Linked DNA regions of Arabidopsis thaliana. The protein of the gene in region 4 interacts with the protein of the main gene of each other region in a pairwise test. Each region holds a gene or a part of one and is shown on either strand. Other genes may lie near its edges.

The links.
Region 1: the proteins of AT5G23280 (region 4) and FES1 interact in a two-hybrid assay, tested with the Arabidopsis thaliana proteins (one large-scale study listed by BioGRID).
Region 2: the proteins of AT5G23280 (region 4) and bZIP interact in a two-hybrid assay, tested with the Arabidopsis thaliana proteins (one large-scale study listed by BioGRID).
Region 3: the proteins of AT5G23280 (region 4) and AT2G02060 interact in a two-hybrid assay, tested with the Arabidopsis thaliana proteins (one large-scale study listed by BioGRID).

The regions. Positions count from the first base shown.
Region 1 is NC_003071.7:14,310,984-14,316,315, forward strand, and holds FES1 (Zinc finger C-x8-C-x5-C-x3-H type family protein), read right to left. Parts: upstream 3,732-5,332; 5' UTR 3,584-3,731; coding exon 3,460-3,583; intron 3,120-3,459; coding exon 3,026-3,119; intron 2,942-3,025; coding exon 2,718-2,941; intron 2,580-2,717; coding exon 1,288-2,579; intron 1,192-1,287; coding exon 1,162-1,191; 3' UTR 729-1,161; downstream 1-728. Other genes in the region: AT2G33840 (Tyrosyl-tRNA synthetase, class Ib, bacterial/mitochondrial), read left to right, coding at 4,028-4,128, 4,318-4,471, 4,557-4,840, 4,933-5,029, 5,279-5,332. UniProt on the Arabidopsis thaliana protein: Transcriptional activator involved in the FRIGIDA-mediated vernalization pathway, but not in the autonomous flowering pathway. Acts cooperatively with FRI (FRIGIDA) or FRL1 (FRIGIDA-LIKE 1) to promote FLC (FLOWERING LOCUS C) expression.
Region 2 is NC_003070.9:25,893,243-25,896,637, forward strand, and holds bZIP (basic leucine-zipper 8), read right to left. Parts: upstream 1,815-3,395; 5' UTR 1,674-1,814; coding exon 1,257-1,673; 3' UTR 729-1,256; downstream 1-728. Other genes in the region: AT1G68877 (chaperonin 60 subunit beta), read right to left, coding at 63-251.
Region 3 is NC_003071.7:492,868-498,406, reverse strand, and holds AT2G02060 (Homeodomain-like superfamily protein), read right to left. Parts: upstream 3,663-5,539; 5' UTR 3,647-3,662; intron 3,027-3,646; exon of another isoform or gene 2,732-3,026; 5' UTR 2,717-2,731; coding exon 2,557-2,716; intron 2,363-2,556; exon of another isoform or gene 2,325-2,362; intron 2,139-2,324; coding exon 2,062-2,138; intron 1,956-2,061; coding exon 1,916-1,955; intron 1,643-1,915; coding exon 1,501-1,642; intron 1,376-1,500; coding exon 1,246-1,375; intron 1,020-1,245; coding exon 798-1,019; 3' UTR 629-797; downstream 1-628. Other genes in the region: AT2G02061 (Nucleotide-diphospho-sugar transferase family protein), read right to left, coding at 83-382.
Region 4 is NC_003076.8:7,840,781-7,845,195, forward strand, and holds AT5G23280 (TCP family transcription factor), read left to right. Parts: upstream 1-1,826; 5' UTR 1,827-2,236; coding exon 2,237-2,989; 3' UTR 2,990-3,869; downstream 3,870-4,415. Other genes in the region: STP11 (sugar transporter 11), read left to right, coding at 1-94.

The DNA.
Region 1 (5,332 bases), on a different chromosome or scaffold from region 4:
TAATATTATTAAGCAACAGTAACTCTAATCAAATAGTTTTCCACAAACCCACCATAGATAATAAGTTCATGATGTCCTAATGATCATAGTCCAAATGATTCACTAAAATGTTTGAAAAAGATAAAACTAATTCCAAAACTGTACACAAAACGTATGCACTTTATCCTAAACCAAAAACCACTTTCTACTTACAGTAAAACTTCTATAAATTAATAATGTTAGGACCGAAAAATTATATTAATTTATAGAGGTTTTAATTTATCGATTAATTAATTAATTTATAGAGATATTTTTCTAATTTATTAACTTTTAAAAAAAATTTAAGATTTTTTCATTATAGAAAATATTTTTTAAGAATCAATTACAAGTAAAAAGTAATATCATATTTAGAAAACAACACCAAAATTTTTTGATACAATAAAATATTAGAACTCAATATCAAATAAGAATAAATACAAATTTAAGCAAAAAAAAATATTAGAAATATATTTTAAAGAAATTTCTTACATATAATGTATATATAGTTGATACATTTCTGCAATTATTAATTTGTGATATTAATGAGACCATATATTTACATAGGATTTTCAAAAAAATTATTATCTTATTAATTTATCGATTTATGTCATTTTTTCCATTAGTCTCACCTCGGGATTGGAAGAAATTATTAATTTATAGAGGTTATTAATTTACCGAGTATTAATTTACAGAGGTTTTACTTATATTGATGGAGAAATACAAAACTAAAACTAACTTCTAATTTGAAAAATCTTGGTTTCACAAAGCTAAATTACTTATCAAATAGTTAGGAAACGTACCTCAACATTATTCCATTTCTTTCTCTTTTCCTCTGCTTCCAAGGCAACCATTCTTTATCACATTACTTCTAAAGATCACATTCTAAATCATATTCCCAAAGGTAAAAGAAAACTGTTTTAAGCATAAATTAAGCTTTGAAGAGTTTTACAATGTGTACACATTTCCTCCACCAAGCTCCCATTCCAACCTTATTCCATTATCGGTAAAGGATAGGAATGGAGTTCCAAAGAATTTAGGTGCTACGTACTAAATCTATAACTGAGTAAAAGAAGGATGACATAATGTACAGGAATCTCATCAGTTTGAGCTCATGCCACACCAAGTGACATTTGGTTTGATAACTCAGGGTTTACCATACTTTTCGACATACCCCTGCAAATGAACATAAGAATTGTTAGCTTATGCAATACTTACTACTTAGGTTTTTACCTGCTTTAAGTGTCTTTTATTTCCAGCTAAGAAACTCACCTCGACAAGTTTCACAATTCTGGTTCCAGACAAACCAAGATATTGATCAACTGATTCTGTGTCAGTTGGCACCTGATGAAACTGGACAGCGGCGCCGACTACCTTTTCTGCAGCTTTTTTAACTATCATGTTATGCACGTCTTTAGTTAGACGACCCTCACGCCACAACGGTTTCAACATTTCTTTAATGGTTTCCACAACTGCAGTCCGGAATAGTCTCATTACTTTCATTCCTGCATCTGACCTCACTTCACCATCTATCTCATCTGATTTCTTTGTCTTTTTATATGAAGACCCATCACTTCTATGCCAAGAATCATGCCCTGCAGGTTTGATTCTTTTCAAAACAACTCTATTCTCTGCAGCCGTAGCCGAAGAAATCTCTTTGCTAGGCGTTGCTGTATCATTTTGATCAACCACTGACGTAGCCACCCCTTCCACTACTCCATGTGCTTCCAAACTCCTTGCCACGGTTTCTTGGTGTTGATTTTGACTGCATGAACTGCTTTTATCATCATTCTTGCAATCCCGTGCTTGGGGACCACTAGCAGAATCACCATCTTTCTGCTGGCAGGAACTTTTCCGTGCATGTTCTCCTTTACTTGACAATGAATCATTAAGAGGTCTGTCTCCTAGATTCTCTATATCCGTGAAAGGATCGTAGAGGGCATCAGACGAGGGAAGAATATAAGGTGGAATTGTAAAAGATGCTTTAAAAGGTTCAGAAGGTTCCCAGTCATCTGAAGAAACTTTCTTTTTAGTGCTAGTAGTGTTGGCTTCTGCGCCTTTATCAGAAGAAACAGCTACCCCTTGCAGCGTTGGAAGTGATCCGGATCCAGATAAACTATTCCCATTTTCAAAATCCCCCACCGTAGAAGCACGATCATTCATAGGAACAGAACTGGATAATGATCCTGTCCAGGCTGGTCCAGCAGATCCCATGTCTGTTTTTAAATAGGAACTGATAGAAGGTCTATGCTCATGAACAAAGCTGCTTCTCAATGCGAAGGAATTGGCGTTATTAATAACTAGAGACCTGTTGTCAGTGAAATCAGCACCATACGTTTGCTTCAAACTCTCTCTTCTAATGTTTTCAAATGAAGGCATAAAGCGCATCTCGTTATTGAACGGGAAAACTCTCTGAGAACCTGGGGGATTCACAAAAGACATGGAGGAGAAAACTCTCTGAGGATTCATGAAAGATATATCCTCTCTGGTAGGCAACGATGTCACACCGTTTTCGCTTAACTGGGAAACTCTTACACCTTCTCTGCTGTCCAAAATTCTTCTTTCTGAATAGACATAAGCAAAATAAATTATTGGTTGATTCAGAAAGAGTAATTAAACCCCATAGATATTCACCGGCCTCTATATTGTTGGAACTACCTCCACATAGAATCACAAGAATAAGTATTCATGGTACAACGTACCTAGATCAGACCGGATACCACCGTTTCCAGCCATACTATTTTCCGCCAGTTGTTGACTAGTGCAATTTGAATTCTCTTTCACATGTAGAAACTTGCAGGACACCCCATTGAAACACCACCCTTTAGCAAAAAATTTGCAGGGAAGAGCTGCACGTTTTTGTTCTGGTTCATTCCCACCACCGCCAGTGAAAAAGCTTCTTGGCGGTATACCCGGAGCAGGAAATCTGATAACCGAATTTGTCAGTATAAAAGCTTCAACCTCTTAACTTAGTTTCAGCAAAACTTAAGCAGAAACTTTTTTGCCATACCTTGGTAAAGTACCATTATCTTGAGCAAAAGCTTGCTCCTTTATGATTTTTGATTGCTCATCTAAAGGTGTTGTTACAGAATGCCTCTTCACATCTACATGAGACAAGTTTAATCAGTACATATTAGCAAAACTGCTGTTTTGAATAAACAAAAGAGATTCCTTACAGAAACAAGCACAAAACTCTGAGAATTGAATTTGCTTACTTGGTATTAAAGCCACAATTTTTACAAAAGAGCTTCAGTGAAAATCTAATTGCCAAGTCTTTGAACCTCTAATCAGAGCTAAATCTAGTCAATTTAACAATTCTCTCTTTCTTCTAGAACAAAATTCATCAATTCCAAATTGGAAAAGGTGTTTCCATCAATAAAAACACGAACTTGACAGAATTAATCAACAATACCATGTAACCAATCACGAATTTCAAATACTAACCGTTGTGGGAATTGGAAGCTTGAATTGGTGGTTTATCAAACAATTCAGATTCTCTTACAATTGTATGTACTTGCACCTTTTGTTCGACCTCATCATCATCAATGTCCATGTCGGAATCAGACATCTTGAAGTCTTCGGCGAGGTAACCAACGCAGAGAGTGGTAAATTGATAAAAAAAAATACTGCGGCGTGATCGGGGTCCGAAGCTCGCTGTTGAGTCCTGATGATCTCCGAGAATACGTTTGGTATATCGAAACCACCATTGTTACAAAGACCACCGAACTATTTTATATCTAATGGGCCTTTCCTAAATAATTAAAGCTTTAGTATTAAGGCCCATACTAAATTCCAAATTTTACCAACTATTTCCTAAATTAACACATCGTTGCCTTTTTATAGTAACCGGATTAAACCAAAACAAAATTAAAGAGAATCGAATCAAACCGTGAAAATCGTGAAGCGTAGTGGTGCTATATTGCACGTTAACTGTCTCCATCACTGCCACTGGTAAACCCTAAGAATCCTCCGCAATTTCGCAATTTTGTGAAGGAGCCGCCGGCTAAATTTGATGGCAGACCAAAGTTCGGAGATCGTCAATGCTCTGTCGTCGGAGATGGAAGCTGTTTCCGTTTCATCAACTCAGGCATCTTCTTCGTCCGATGGATTCCAGTGAGTTTTCTTACCAATCATCAATTTTTTTCATTTTCGCGCTTCAATTTTGATTTGGATTATATTATTTGATTAGAGTGGAAGAGATGAAAAAGCTATAGCAATTTAGAAGTATGGAATTTAAAATTGAAAAGATCTTGTTATCTGCTTATTGGTCTGGTAGATATTGAAATTTTACTAATTCTTCAGGATGAGTGAAGAAGTTGAGAAGAGATACAAAATTGTTAGGAGTATCGGTGAGGAATGTATACAAGAGGAAGAGCTAAAGAATCTTCTTGCTAAGAAGGCTGCTCCGATTTGCTACGACGGCTTTGAACCATCAGGAAGAATGCACATTGCTCAGGTCTGTTAGTTTTCCTTTGTTCCATTACCATATGTGGGAAGGAAGCGTTGGCTAATCTATTTTGGTTCTGTTGTTTTCTTAATAGGGAGTGATGAAAGTCATCAATGTGAACAAAATGACTTCAGCTGGTTGCAGAGTGAAGATTTGGATTGCTGATTGGTTTGCTCAGTTGAACAACAAAATGGGTGGTGACTTGAAGAAAATCAGAGTGGTTGGAGAATACTTTCAAGAGATATGGAAGGCTGCTGGGATGGATAATGACAAAGTAGAGTTTTTGTGGTCGTCCGAAGAAATTAATTCTAAGGCAGATAAGTATTGGCCTCTTGTGATGGACATTGCTCGCAAAAACAAGCTCCCTAGAATCTTAAGGTTACTTTTCTAAATCTTCTCCATTCTTGGGACGTTGTAATTATGTGAGGGAAATGATGGGACCTGAATGACTCTGGTTCTTGTCCTTGAAGGTGTGTGCAGATTATGGGACGTAGTGAGACTGATGAACTGAGTGCTGCCCAGATCCTTTACCCATGCATGCAATGTGCAGATATTTTTTTCCTTGAGGTACTGTTAAGCCTTTGCTTGCTTATGAACTGTCTTTGATTCTGCTGCTAGTTACTCGGAATAAAAAATTTAGCTTAAGCGTTACATCAGCAGAAAGTCTATTATATTGTTGATAAAACACCTGATAAAAGCTCCAGGCTAGAAATAAGCTGTATATGATTGCAGATTTTATCAATGTAATGTTACATTTTGTGTATCTGGCTGATGAGTTCTGTGACTACTGTTAAACCATTTTCGTTACATATGTAGGCTGATATTTGCCAGCTTGGGATGGATCAAAGAAAAGTAAATGTGCTAGCGAGA
Region 2 (3,395 bases), on a different chromosome or scaffold from region 4:
ACGTGACTGGATCCATGTAAAAAGGGGTTATACTTATAACTTATACATAAAGCGAACGTCTCTTACGAATCTATATATCTCCGGTGAGAAGTTAAAGCGGTGGAGATGGGAGTTGCGGCTTTGACGTGGTGGAAGAAAGCGACGGAGCAGAGGACAGAGGCAATGAGAGCAAAGAATCCAAATCCGATCATTAGAGAGACACCGGCGACGATAAGATCCATCGCCGTTTGAATGCTCATTATGCCCATCATCTTCAGATTCTTTAGTTTTAGAAATGGTTTGGATAATGGAACTATTATAAGAGGGTGAAACAGAATGGCATAGCAATTGCCTTTGGAAATGGTGAAACAGAATGCATTGCCACCACGTTACGTGATAAACTCAAATTTACGACACCTTGAACTAATTCTTTTAAAATACAGAAATACAAAACAAAACCGAAACTTTTTTTATCCAAATTCGAACTGAACCTAAACTTGGACTAAACCGAATTAAAATTTGCTTTTATTTGATACTTATTTTCAAAATTCATTGTACTAAACCAAAAAGCCTAAACCAAACTAAACAGAAAAACTGAATGTCCATGCCAAATTATTATGGTCAAATTATTTTATGGTAATATCATAATAATAAGGATATAGTTTGTCAAGCTTTGAATAAAACTAAATCAATTTATGGGAGTATGATAAATTATTTGACGACGGTTTTTAAAACTATAGTGATAAGGATATAATTAATGTTTTGGCTTTGGATAAAATTGAGTCAGTTTATGGGAATGTGATAAATGATTTGACTATTGTTTTAGAAATTTTACAATAGTCGTTGATTGAGCCGAATCTAAATATCGTTAGTAGATAAAGACTTGTCAGATTATATATGAACACTTTCTTTTGGAAATATTTGGTTTATAGACCCGTAACAAGTTCAGACAGGGATCAAGAACATTTCGAAAGAGACAAAGATGATGCATACATCGATATGGACCTGTTTATTTATTAGAACATGAAAATATATAGTTTTTATTTTTTTGTAACCAAAAAGTTTTGGACCATAGGTCCGAAATTCAAAACAGAGCAAAGTCCCCTGAACACCCCCAATGACAAAATTCGAACCTGAGATCTAAAGAACACTCTCTTTAGGTTATATTTTTGGTAAAATATATTTGATTATATTGTTATAGATTCATTTGAGATGTTTGTATACCTTGGTCCTCTTCTTTAAATAAACAACAAAAAACCAACAAGCTTACGAGACGATTAGAAGGTCCAGATCTGATCGGCCTCTACGCTAAGAAACCTATTAAGCCCGATCTCACCAATCATCTTCCTCGACTTGGAGTTTTCCTCTCGAAGTTTCATGTTCTCTTCTATAACCTTCTCGTAACATTCCCTGGCTTGGCTTAGCTCATCGACTAGAGATTTGTTCTTATTGATGAGTTGAACAAGCATGGACCACAGTTCTTCCATGTGACGCTGTTTCCGCATACGCGATCTCCGAGCTGACTCGCGGTTCGATACCTTCCTTCTCCGCTTCCTCTCATTATCTTCTGCAGTCCGGCTAGAGTCGTCTGACGTGGCAGGCAAGTTTGAAAGTGGTACTCGATCAACAAAGATTTGGAATAAAGACTGTGGATTAGGGTTTTGACTTGGAAGGTTATAGACAGAACCAGCCATGAAAAAAACAGTTATGCGTTCTTTAAGAAAATTTTTGTTGACAAGTATGATGGTATAGATCAATGAAATGCACTCTAATTTTGGTTTTTATAGATGAATAAATCGAAAGTAGTGTTACCTTACACTAATAACTAATCCAAGTGGCTGAAGCATACGTAAATTTTAATAAAATAGAAGGAGAAGAAAAAGAGAAGTTCTAATCGTGAGATTGATGAGTCATGAAGCACTTGAAAGGTGAAAGTAAGTAGATGGCATGAAGGGGACCATTGCGGAGAAAATCAAAGACTATATTATAAATTATTCAAAGAAAGCGTGAGAGGTAGCGACTCGTCGACGCACCATGTTTCTTTTCGAGCAACCATATCTAATTTTTTTAAGAGCGTACTTTATTTTTTTTATATACGTAATTATTCGATAATCCAATGGTTTATGAAATTTGTGGGTAATGATGTAGCATAAAGTGACTTTAGTCCTTGTACATAATTTATAGTGTTAAAGAGTTGACAATGAAGAAATTTTACCAAAAACTACTATAGTTCCTGAAGCCTAATTGCGAGAGTTGTGGTCGGATAGCTAAAATGTGCTTTTAGAAATTTTGCATTAGGTAACATGTTTTTACCAAGTCAAATAAAGTCTAGTGAATGAAAATAATATCTTATAGCTGGGATGAAATATATTGGCAATTTTTTTTTTGGATAAATACTCTAAATATATTGGTATTTACCTTCACCATTTAGAGTGAATGTCACTTGGGGTTGGGGTATCAGATTGGTTAAATTTGCTTTATTAGGCGGTAATTTTTAGTAGCAGTTATAAATAATATTTTATCTAAAGTAAGGATTAGAATATTGATGTTTTCTGCTAGTAAAGAAGTTTCCTAGATCCACTTAAAGCCAATCATCTTAGTGGCGTGATGGTATCAAACATATATAGATGAATGTTTGAAAAACTCGAGAGTGCGAGACGCATCAAATTGCAAACGAGTCTGTTCATATTATAATGACATGTTGAATTATCTTAATAAGACAATTTTAGCCATCTAGATGTTAATCGGCTAACTATTTTGCTATAGAATAAGGATTCATCCAATAACATCAAAATATAGCCCTGTTATTCATAATTTATGTAAGAAGAGAAAATACTTTTCTATGACAATTAAGCGAATTAATCCATTAGCTGCTCCAAGGGGTAACTAATGAAAGTCAATTAAAGCTTCAAGTGACGTATCACATACTCACAATGAAACACTTATTTTGCTGATGTTATGGACCATTATGGTTTTATTGATTAGAAAGCAAATATTATAATGTGAAACTCTAGTGGTAGAGATTTCTTGCTTGTCTTTTACTAGTTTCCAGCTACTCTTGTTTTGTCCGTTTTGGCTATTCCACGATCTACAACTTTCGGGTTCATATCAATGTCCAAGAGGATATTACTAGCAATTCCTCCTATGATGTGAAATCGTCTAGTGCCAAAAATATATCAGTTTTAAAAGCATTGGTTTAACTTACCAAGCATAAAGTAATGAAGACATTACTTTTTTTTGGCACAAACTCATAGAAAAGTATTATCTATGATTCTTCAAAATAAAACCCAAGTAGTTTTATGAGAATTTATATTTTGAAGCTTTGTCATACAACAACTTGTTGTGATAAACAACCAACTAGATTTTAATCCGCGGTACACCGCATGACAATTTATTTTAAAAATTAGTTTATATAA
Region 3 (5,539 bases), on a different chromosome or scaffold from region 4:
CGAAGTCTAATGAAGTCGAAGATCGGATTTATGAATAAACACCAAATATATAGAAACAATGTGGAAGAAGAAGAATACTCACCGGAGACAGAGACGGAGATGGAGACGGAGACGAAGAAGAATCGTTGACAGAGGGGAAAATGCGAGAGAGGGTGGAGGAAGAGTCAGAGACGATTCGGAGATAACCAGAAGTTCTGTAGAGGGAGAAGCAGAAGCAGATGAAGAAGAGCAAGAGAACGGCTCGGAGTACATTGCCGGAGCACGGTGGGATTACGACGGAAGTTACGGCGGCGGCGGCGGAGGAAGAATGATTCTCGTCGGAGTAAGAATCGTTGAGTATCGCCGTCTTGGAATTGGAGCCAAAACGGTTCGATAGATTCATCTTCGCCGACGTTGACGACGTTGGTCATCGTCTGGGCGGTTATAAGGTAGTTTCAAGTTTTTTGAATGTAAAACGCGGCGTTTAATGAGTTTACCCTCCAACGATGAAACGCAGCGTTTAATGGGTTTTATCTGCGAGATTATTTTTTCTACCGTAGGATTGCCGACCAAAATAACAATGAACATTCTAAACCGTAGGATCTTGATATAGAAACGCTGCGTTTAGGGGTTATCCTTCAAAGATCAAAACACTGCGTTTGGCTCTGTTTGTTAATTTTCCGTTCAAAGGCGATCAAAACGCTGCGTTGATAATTTATCTAAACTTCATTTTCTAGGTTTCTCTACTAACATTCAATATCCTAGTTTCAAAAACACATCCGAATAGTTTCTCTGAACCTAAATCTTGCATAACTTATTTAGCTACCGAGGAGAGAAATTGACAGATTAAGATCAATCTTTGAAGAACCAAAGCAATCTTTGGATACGAATGGTGCTGAACAAGTCGAGACTGCTGCTTCACTCGTTTCGCTCACCACCGATGATCCATTGCTTCTCCAATGATGATGATTTAACGACAGAGACAACGACAAATCTTCTTCTTCTTCTTCGTGTTCTTGTTCCCGCCACTCCTCTGTTCCCTAATGAACCAAAAGACAAAATTAGTTACCAAACCGGACTAAAACCGGTTAAATGCCATTTATATGAAACTAATTAGATTCAATGACAAGTAGTACTTAAACCGGACTCAATCCCTTTGGATTTGACCAGTCTCAATCAGACCGGTTAGAACTCATAACCGGACTTGATTTTGTTTTGCAACATTAAATTTCCAAACCGGTTGACAAAAGAGAAATTTATTTATACCTTGGGGAAATGATGTGACAAAAACGTCGTCGTATCGTTCATCTTCTTGATGTGAAGAAAGTCAGCATCATCATCATAACCACCAGACTCTGAAGTCTGCTGCTCTTTTGTTCTTCCTCCTCCTCCTCCTCTGCACCAAAGTAAAAGGACAATTCAAATACAGACAAACAAAAAAGCAAAACACTTTTTTTTTTTTTTTACTGAAATAAAATTAAAAAACTTTGTCAGAAAACAATTATAAATAAAAATAAATACCTAAATGAAGAATGTGAAGAAAGAGGAAAAGAGTGAAAACCCAAAAGACAATCATTCCTTGTGTGTAAAGACAAGTTGTCATGAAGATAATAATCTTCTTCACTGTCTTGTCTTCTTCTTATTGAAGATGATGAGCTTTCTTCTGTGTAAGAAACAATAAAAACTAGTTAATGAATATTCTCTTATTTTCTGTTCTATTACTCTTGAAAAATATATAAATGTATTTATGACATTTGTCTTATGAATCATGACACTAGACCAATAGTACATACTACAAACAGATACAGTAAAATAATTAAATTCCATCCATTATTATGTGTTTGATGTTAACAGTTCAAATTAAAATCAACGGTCCCATTCTTTTTCCAAATATCATCATTGATTCATTTCATAATTATAAGGAAAAAAATAATACCTGGTTTCTCCAAAGTGAGCTTTGAACCTCCTCTATACATCTGTTTATATATATGTTCAAAACAATCAAAACAAGGTGTTATGAATGAAATATGAATAAAGAAGAAAACAAAATTGATGTTTTTGGTAAAATTAATTACTATTTACCTGAAGGTGGCTTTTGACATGTGAAATGGTAAGTCCCTTCACATCCATCATCTTAAGAACAAGTTTTGGTGTTGCTCCTGTTTCATCAAACCCAACAAAATATCAAAAAGGTGACTATGATGATTCTTTATGAAAAAAAACAAAAACTCAAACTTTATGAATGAAACAAAACAACAAAAGCGTGAAGGTTTTGACTCGGTAACTTGACAAAGATGATTCATTACGATGATGAAGATAAACAACACAATAAGGAAACTTCAAACCTTTTTTTTAGCATAAAAATCCAAACTTTGAAGATAAGAATGAAACAAAGTAACAAAAGTGTGAAGATTTTATTCAAAAACTGATTTTTTACGATGATTGAGACAAAAGAATGAGAAAAGTCCAATTTTTCTAGTTATATCGTAACTTTAGGATGTTTGAAGCAAACAAACACACAAAAGTTTGGTTTTTTTCACAAAAGATTTGAAGAGAAAAAAAGTATAATAAACTTACGGTGTTGACCACCGAGAATCTCGACGGCGTGAACGAAACAACGGTGAAGATCCGGCGTCCATCTAAGCCGTGGAACTGGAGACCGTACGTAAGGTCTAACTCCGTGAAATTTATTGCCGTTAAAGCTTCCGTTACCATTTCTACCACTAGACTTACCCATATCGTTTCAAGAACCCTAAAAACCGACACAAAGATTCGATTTTTACTTAAACCCAAGAGAAAAAAAGGTTTGATATGTTTTGGTTCTGTGAAGAGGAGAGAAAGAGAAACGAGGAGAGGAGGATTTGAGAGGTGTGTGGGTTGGGATTAAAAGAGCAAGTTTTTGTTTTTGGCTTCTTTCTTAAAGATGACTGTCTCTTTTTCCATCTATTCTTTTTGTCTCTTTTTGGATTCATTCATACTTATTATTATCTCTCTATATATGTTTTGCAAAATTCCAAAAAATAATTATTAAAACTTGAGAAATGTTTCATTCATTTTTTTTGTTAAATATCAATTTGAGTTCTTACGAAAAAACTACATTAATTAAAAGAGAGTTATAATTTTGTTGTTTAAGAATTGTTCATGACATATACGTGAGGAATTTGAGGATACGTAAACTATCGTAAAGTCAAAATTTCATAATCTGATATGGTTTATGGTTGGGTCACTTATTTAGACGATTAAACTAGCAAATAAAAAGAATGATGTTATAAAATTGGTTTATTATACTAAACAGAGAGGTGACATGTGTTTTTTGACCTACAAGCTTGTAGTAATCATACGAAAATCCATTTGACTTTGGTTACAAAAGTAGTAATCATACGAAAATCCATTTGACTTTGGTTACATTAGTCTTGACTCGTGACCCCATTCATTATTATCTTAAATAATTTTTTTAAATAGTTTTCGAGAGAATCATTGCATATCAACGTACCAGAGAACTACACAAGGCTACATACATAACTTGCATGAAAAGAACATAGATTCGAGTATTACCCTTGCCCCGATCGATATATAACCAATTGAACATACATTTGTTAGCTTAGCTGGTCAAAAGAATATACTTGTCATAGAAAAACCAAATTTTGTAAGAACACATAATATTTACCTTATAGGGATTTGGGATTTACCCAAATGAAGAAGTTTCCTCCACAGTACCTCAAACTTTACTTTCTCACTTTTTTCACGATAGGTTTTAGACCAAAACGAATAAATTTAAATGAAAATAGCCCAACTGCTTAGCTTTGACCATATAGCATAATTATTATTCCTATTTTTGTTTTTTGTTTTGTTTTTTTAGGGTTTCGTGTTAAACTTTCTGATTTCAAATAAATCACACAATTTTACAATGGTCCTTCGTTATGTCTTTTGGACCACCGTTTTGACTTCATTCCCCTAATTCCTTTACATTTTCTCCCATTTCCCATTCATTTTCCTTCTTATTGTTTTCTTTTTCACTCCCATAATAAGTGATAATAAATCTTAGGATAATATTTATAACAAGAATTATTTATTTTCCCCATTTTTCTTTTTCTCATTGCTGATTTGGTGTACATGGAAGACGAACCAAAACCATCATGTCCCTATATGGTAGCCGACAATAATTACTGATTTCGCCAGTTTTTTCCAACCATGGATTCAATATTTTAATCAACGAATTGTGGACATAAATCACGTTATTTTATCAGCTATTCTACTATTAACTACTTATATTAACATCAAATACTGTTTTTAAATGATGTATGTATTTCTTGTAAGAAATTAAGTACTAGTATATAATTTTTATGTAGTATTAGAAAGTAATTGATTTGTACTACATACTTACTCGTGGTTTACGTGGTATCAGCCATAATAATAAAAAAATAAGAAAAAGCCGATTGAGTATTAATTAAGAGAACAAAATTTAATAATTTATAATTTAACAAAGTCGTCGTCTTTATTCCACACATAAATCAGACATTTCTATACCCAACGAAAAAAACAATCAAATAATAAAATCTACACACAAAGTGAGGTCATTGACCTTTAAAATGTAGCCTATTGTGCTTTGCATTTTCTTCTCATTTATGCACATTCTCTAAATTATTATAAAAACGTGGAATTCTCTGCATATATGCCAAAATTCGCTTTAACGATTTTAAAAATGGTTTAGTGTTTGATTAGACGGTAATTAAAATATAATATTCAGTCACCAGCTTGTCAAAGACACACGAGTTGCTTATATTACCTATATATTGACTAGAAGAATAATACAAAAAGCTACCTAGGTTATGATCATTGATCAAAATAATCAAGTAAACACATTCCAAAAGGTTTTATCAGTGAAACAATTTTACTATATTCACTAATAAAGCCTTTTATTATCCTACTGATGATCATTGATCGATAAACACAATTGCATGGATGGATAAAATGTCTAACCGAGAGTTCAAGTCTCAAAAATCAAAATGGTTAGTACTAATACATGTATGAGAGAAAGTGGAAGCAAATGAAAATAATACATTAAATGAGTCTGGCAGAGACAAATAGCTCCAAGAGAAATTGAATGAGTAATTGACTGTGGAGGTCCATGATTCATGGCTTTTACCACAATCAAAACATTCAATAATTCTCTTTGCTTGTTTTTTTATTAATATTATAAAACTTTGTACATACATGTAAGATAATGTAACCCAACTGGATTTTGGACTATAAAAAACATAACATTCTTTTTTGTGTGTGGAAAATTTGGATGTGCAAATCTCACCGAACCATTCGACGATTATCAATGTTAATTTATTATTCTATTGGGTCAATTTTCTCATCACCCATTGATTGAATTCAATCATAGCACATGCAAGAACAAGGCAAATTCTAAGATGGTTAAAGTAATATAAAAGGTGTAATCCATGAAACACCTAGAGAGAACAGAGAAGAATTAGCCTTTTCACACCTAAAATAACATTAAACAAAAGTGAAAGAGAGTTGTTTAAAAGTTTGATTTGGGAATGGTTGGGCCACC
Region 4 (4,415 bases):
GGAGATGGGGAAAGTGTGGAAAGAGCATAGATATTGGGGGAAATATAGTAATAATGATGATGGTGATGATGTTGATGATGATGCTTATTTTTAGTTGATGATTATTTGGGATTTAAGGATATGTTAGGATTAAAAACTTATTATTGAGAAAATGCTTATACTGACCAATGTGAGAAAATAAAAATGAGGATATAATAAACAAGTGTACATAATTTGAGGATTTATGACCGTACTTAAAATTACTCGAAACTTCTTGAACTAAAAATAATATAAATTTTTTGTTTAGACTAAAATGATCATTTTTTACGATAAAGATACATGTCGAGTAATTATTAAGAGTATCCAAATTATCCGTTTGAATTGTTAAAATATTTAAAATTATTATAATTTTCCGGCTACTAAAAATTCTCTAACACTTCACAAGATTATTAAAAAAAACTCTCTCTCTCTATTTGTACTTAAAATAACCCAAATTTGACCCATTCTCATTTGGATAGCGATTTTTAAATTATTGAATTTATCTACCATATCATATCTTATCAGTTGTTTCCAAAACTTAGAAGTGAAATTAAATTGGTTATTTATTTTTGTTTGTAACATAACTAAATCAACCATCAAGTCAATCTCGAACAAACAATTGTTATCATCCATTATCCAATATTAATTACTTTTTTGTTTTGTTTTGTTACAAGTGAATACTATTCACATGATTTATAAATTAGTATTATTATTCACTCCACAACATTTTGTATCAGATTAGGTTTCAAGTTTATAGTTACACAAAAAATGGATTCCGAAATCTTTTAGATTAAAAAAAAAAAGGATCAAAAGTTCAAGGTACACAATCTTTTTATAAAACTGCCGACATGATGCCATATCGCTCATGATTGCATTTATTTTTTTGCATTAGCTCACAAGAATGTTAAAAATTAACGATAAGAAAATCCATTTAATTAGGGGGTACGAGTACGAAAATAATTAAAACAAATATTAGCGTTTGGTGGTGCATAACTCAGCATAAGTCATAAAATAAATTGTTGTCACGATATGTGAAGAAAATCTCGTTGCGATGAGACGAACGACATAAAGAAAATCTTGCGTATCTGACAAGTGGACTAATCCACTTATTTTCAATGTCAGTCTCAAAATGGGAGTTATTAAAATTAATGTTCGTTCTTTTTATTTTATACACACATTTATTTTATATATATATTTATATTATATACAGTAAAACCTCTATAAATTAATAACATTAAAACCATAATATTTTTAATTTATAGTACTATTAATTTAAATGTCTTTGGGTATTTTAGTTGGCAAAACTCAACTAATTACAGGTAACTTTCTTTTGTGATGTCGACAAAAGAATTCTGAATAATTTTTAAGGGTTTCGATTTTTGCCATTTCACGTAAAACACGTGATACTGGGCTACTGGCATTTACGGCAGAGTAACTGGTGGCAAATATTATTACCAATATACTATAAACAAATAAATAAAAAGAACAAACACTAGTATTAAATTTTGATTGTTTTATAACTCAATTAAGTTTTGATGTCAAAGTCTACTTACCAATCAATTACCTCACTGATTTGTCTCCTTTTCAATCTTTTCGATTGTTTTATGGAAACAGCTTTCTAAAAAAGATTAATTTTCACGTAATCACAAAACAAATGTTCACATTAGCCCAAATCTAATAACCACATTAGGTTGGTCCCAAAAATTTAAAAACAAAAAAAAACTTTTTTAGACAGAGAGACCAACTTCAATACATTTAGTTTCATGTATTTTAAATAAGATTAGTATCTTCGTGTTAATTTCCAAATTCAAGCTTATAGTAAGTTAGTAATAATGTATATAATGACGTGGCAAAGGATAAATGTCTCTTTAAATGCACGTAGCAGCCGGAGGAGTGACCCACCTACCTAGTGTTAAATTCTCCTGCCGGAGTTTGGTCCCCACGCGACCTTCTTCTTCACCGGAGTAATAACGCGCGTGAGCTCCACCGCGTCGGGACAAAACTAATGTCCTCTCAAAAAAGCAAAAAAAAAAAGAGAAAAAAAACCAGAGATGGTGAGCTGTGTGAAAAGGACCCCACCACACCCATGTGCTTCTCCTTCCTGTCTCCACCAGCTCCCTCCTTCTCAATCATTAGCTTCTTCTCTTCTCTTCTCTCACAGAGAGAGTAATCACAAGCCAAGTGAGAAAAAGAAAACACTAAACCCAGATCGAAAACCATGTCTATTAACAACAACAACAACAACAACAACAATAACAACGATGGTCTTATGATCTCATCAAACGGAGCTTTAATCGAACAACAACCATCAGTCGTTGTGAAGAAACCACCGGCGAAAGATCGACATAGCAAAGTCGATGGAAGAGGGAGAAGAATCCGTATGCCGATTATATGTGCTGCTCGTGTTTTTCAGCTAACGAGAGAGCTTGGTCATAAGTCAGATGGCCAAACAATTGAATGGTTACTTCGTCAAGCAGAGCCTTCTATTATAGCTGCAACAGGAACTGGTACAACTCCAGCGAGTTTCTCAACTGCTTCTGTCTCTATCCGTGGAGCCACCAATTCTACTTCTTTAGATCATAAACCCACTTCTTTACTTGGTGGTACGTCACCGTTTATACTTGGGAAACGTGTTAGAGCTGATGAGGATAGTAATAATAGTCATAATCATAGTTCTGTTGGTAAAGATGAGACCTTTACGACAACACCAGCTGGGTTTTGGGCTGTTCCGGCGAGGCCGGATTTTGGACAAGTTTGGAGTTTTGCTGGAGCTCCACAAGAGATGTTTTTACAACAACAACATCATCATCAGCAACCATTGTTTGTTCATCAGCAACAGCAACAACAAGCTGCAATGGGTGAAGCTTCTGCTGCTAGAGTTGGGAATTATCTTCCGGGTCATCTTAATTTGCTTGCTTCTTTATCCGGTGGATCTCCCGGGTCGGATCGAAGAGAGGAAGATCCACGTTAATGGTTTAAGCCCTTTTAGGTTTGAGGGCAAAATTTGGTATATATATTTATTATCTTCTCTTCTCTATTGTTGTCATTGTTTCTCTATGTGTGTGTTTTAGTGTTGTTAGAGATTGATTTGGTTTCAGAATCTCTGCAAGTGATTTGAGAGTTTTCGTTAGCTTTAAGTAAGTTAAAGACGGTTGTTTTTGATTAGGGTTAAATTAGGGTTTAAGAATCTGTTGTTTTTTTGGAGGGAGATCGATTTCTTATCGGATCCAAGATTACTTTTAGGAAAAAAGGGAAAATTTCAGAAACCACGGTGGTTTCTTTTCCTCTTTTTTTTTTTGTGTCTGTTTTTTTTTTCCGGTGAAACAGAGCCGTCGATTAAAATTTCAGATATATATTTAAATGTTTTAATATGGTTTGTTGTTGTTGTTGCTAATTGTGTAATGTGTTACAACAATTGTGGTGAAGCATTTGCGTAAGCTGTTAACCACGTTTATTTCTAATAAATGTTTCGAATTCATATTGTTCCTTCCTTCTCTGCATTTATTGATACACAAAAAGCTTTATGTGATAGTGATTGTTTCGTTGAAATCGAACCGGATGATGGATTTTTGAACAGAATCATAATAATCTCTTATTTTTTTAGTGGATATATGTATGAATTGTGGATTTTGAGATGCTATTTATTTTTGGCGTTTCGCGTCTTGATTTAATGCAAGAACTGAACAGAGGATTTAGTAAGAAAAAGAGACAAACCAGTTGTGTCTGAATTCTTCAATTTTGTTGCCTTTTTGTTTCATATGAATCTTTGTACTGTGCTTTTGGAAGTTTGGTTTGTCACGTTAGTCAGAGAAATATTAAATTTAAGTACTGTTAAAACTATATGGCGACATGATATCTTTAAATTAATTGTCTATATTTTTGTTCTAGAAACTGTTACAATTTGAAAGATTAAAGGTGTTAGAATTGTCTCTTCTCTTGTTTGAGATTAGCTATCTAAAAAAATGTGGGTGATACACTCGAACATGAGTTCAAATGGTTGTTTTAATTTTGGCAAAAACCATTTTCACTGTTGTAATAATTTGGACTATCAAAAAAGTAAATTTTATTTTAACCCCTGATATAGTATAATTTCTTATGCAAAGTATATTTAAGGTACAAATAGCATAGATTCAATGATTTCGTTTGTGGTTTTCACAGCTATATATCTGCTGAGTAATGTATTTAACCAATAATTTATTTATCACGATAATACCTGATGAATAAATGTCAAAGTGATTAGATAGGCTTCTTTAGACTATTTAGGTCACACTAACCAATCAAAAGAATCAAACAAATTTTCTCATTAAAATAAGAATCCATTAATGGAAAGATCTTAACAAAAAGTTGGTGTTTTTTCTTTCTTAATTAGGTCTTAGTAATTAACACTTAGCTATATA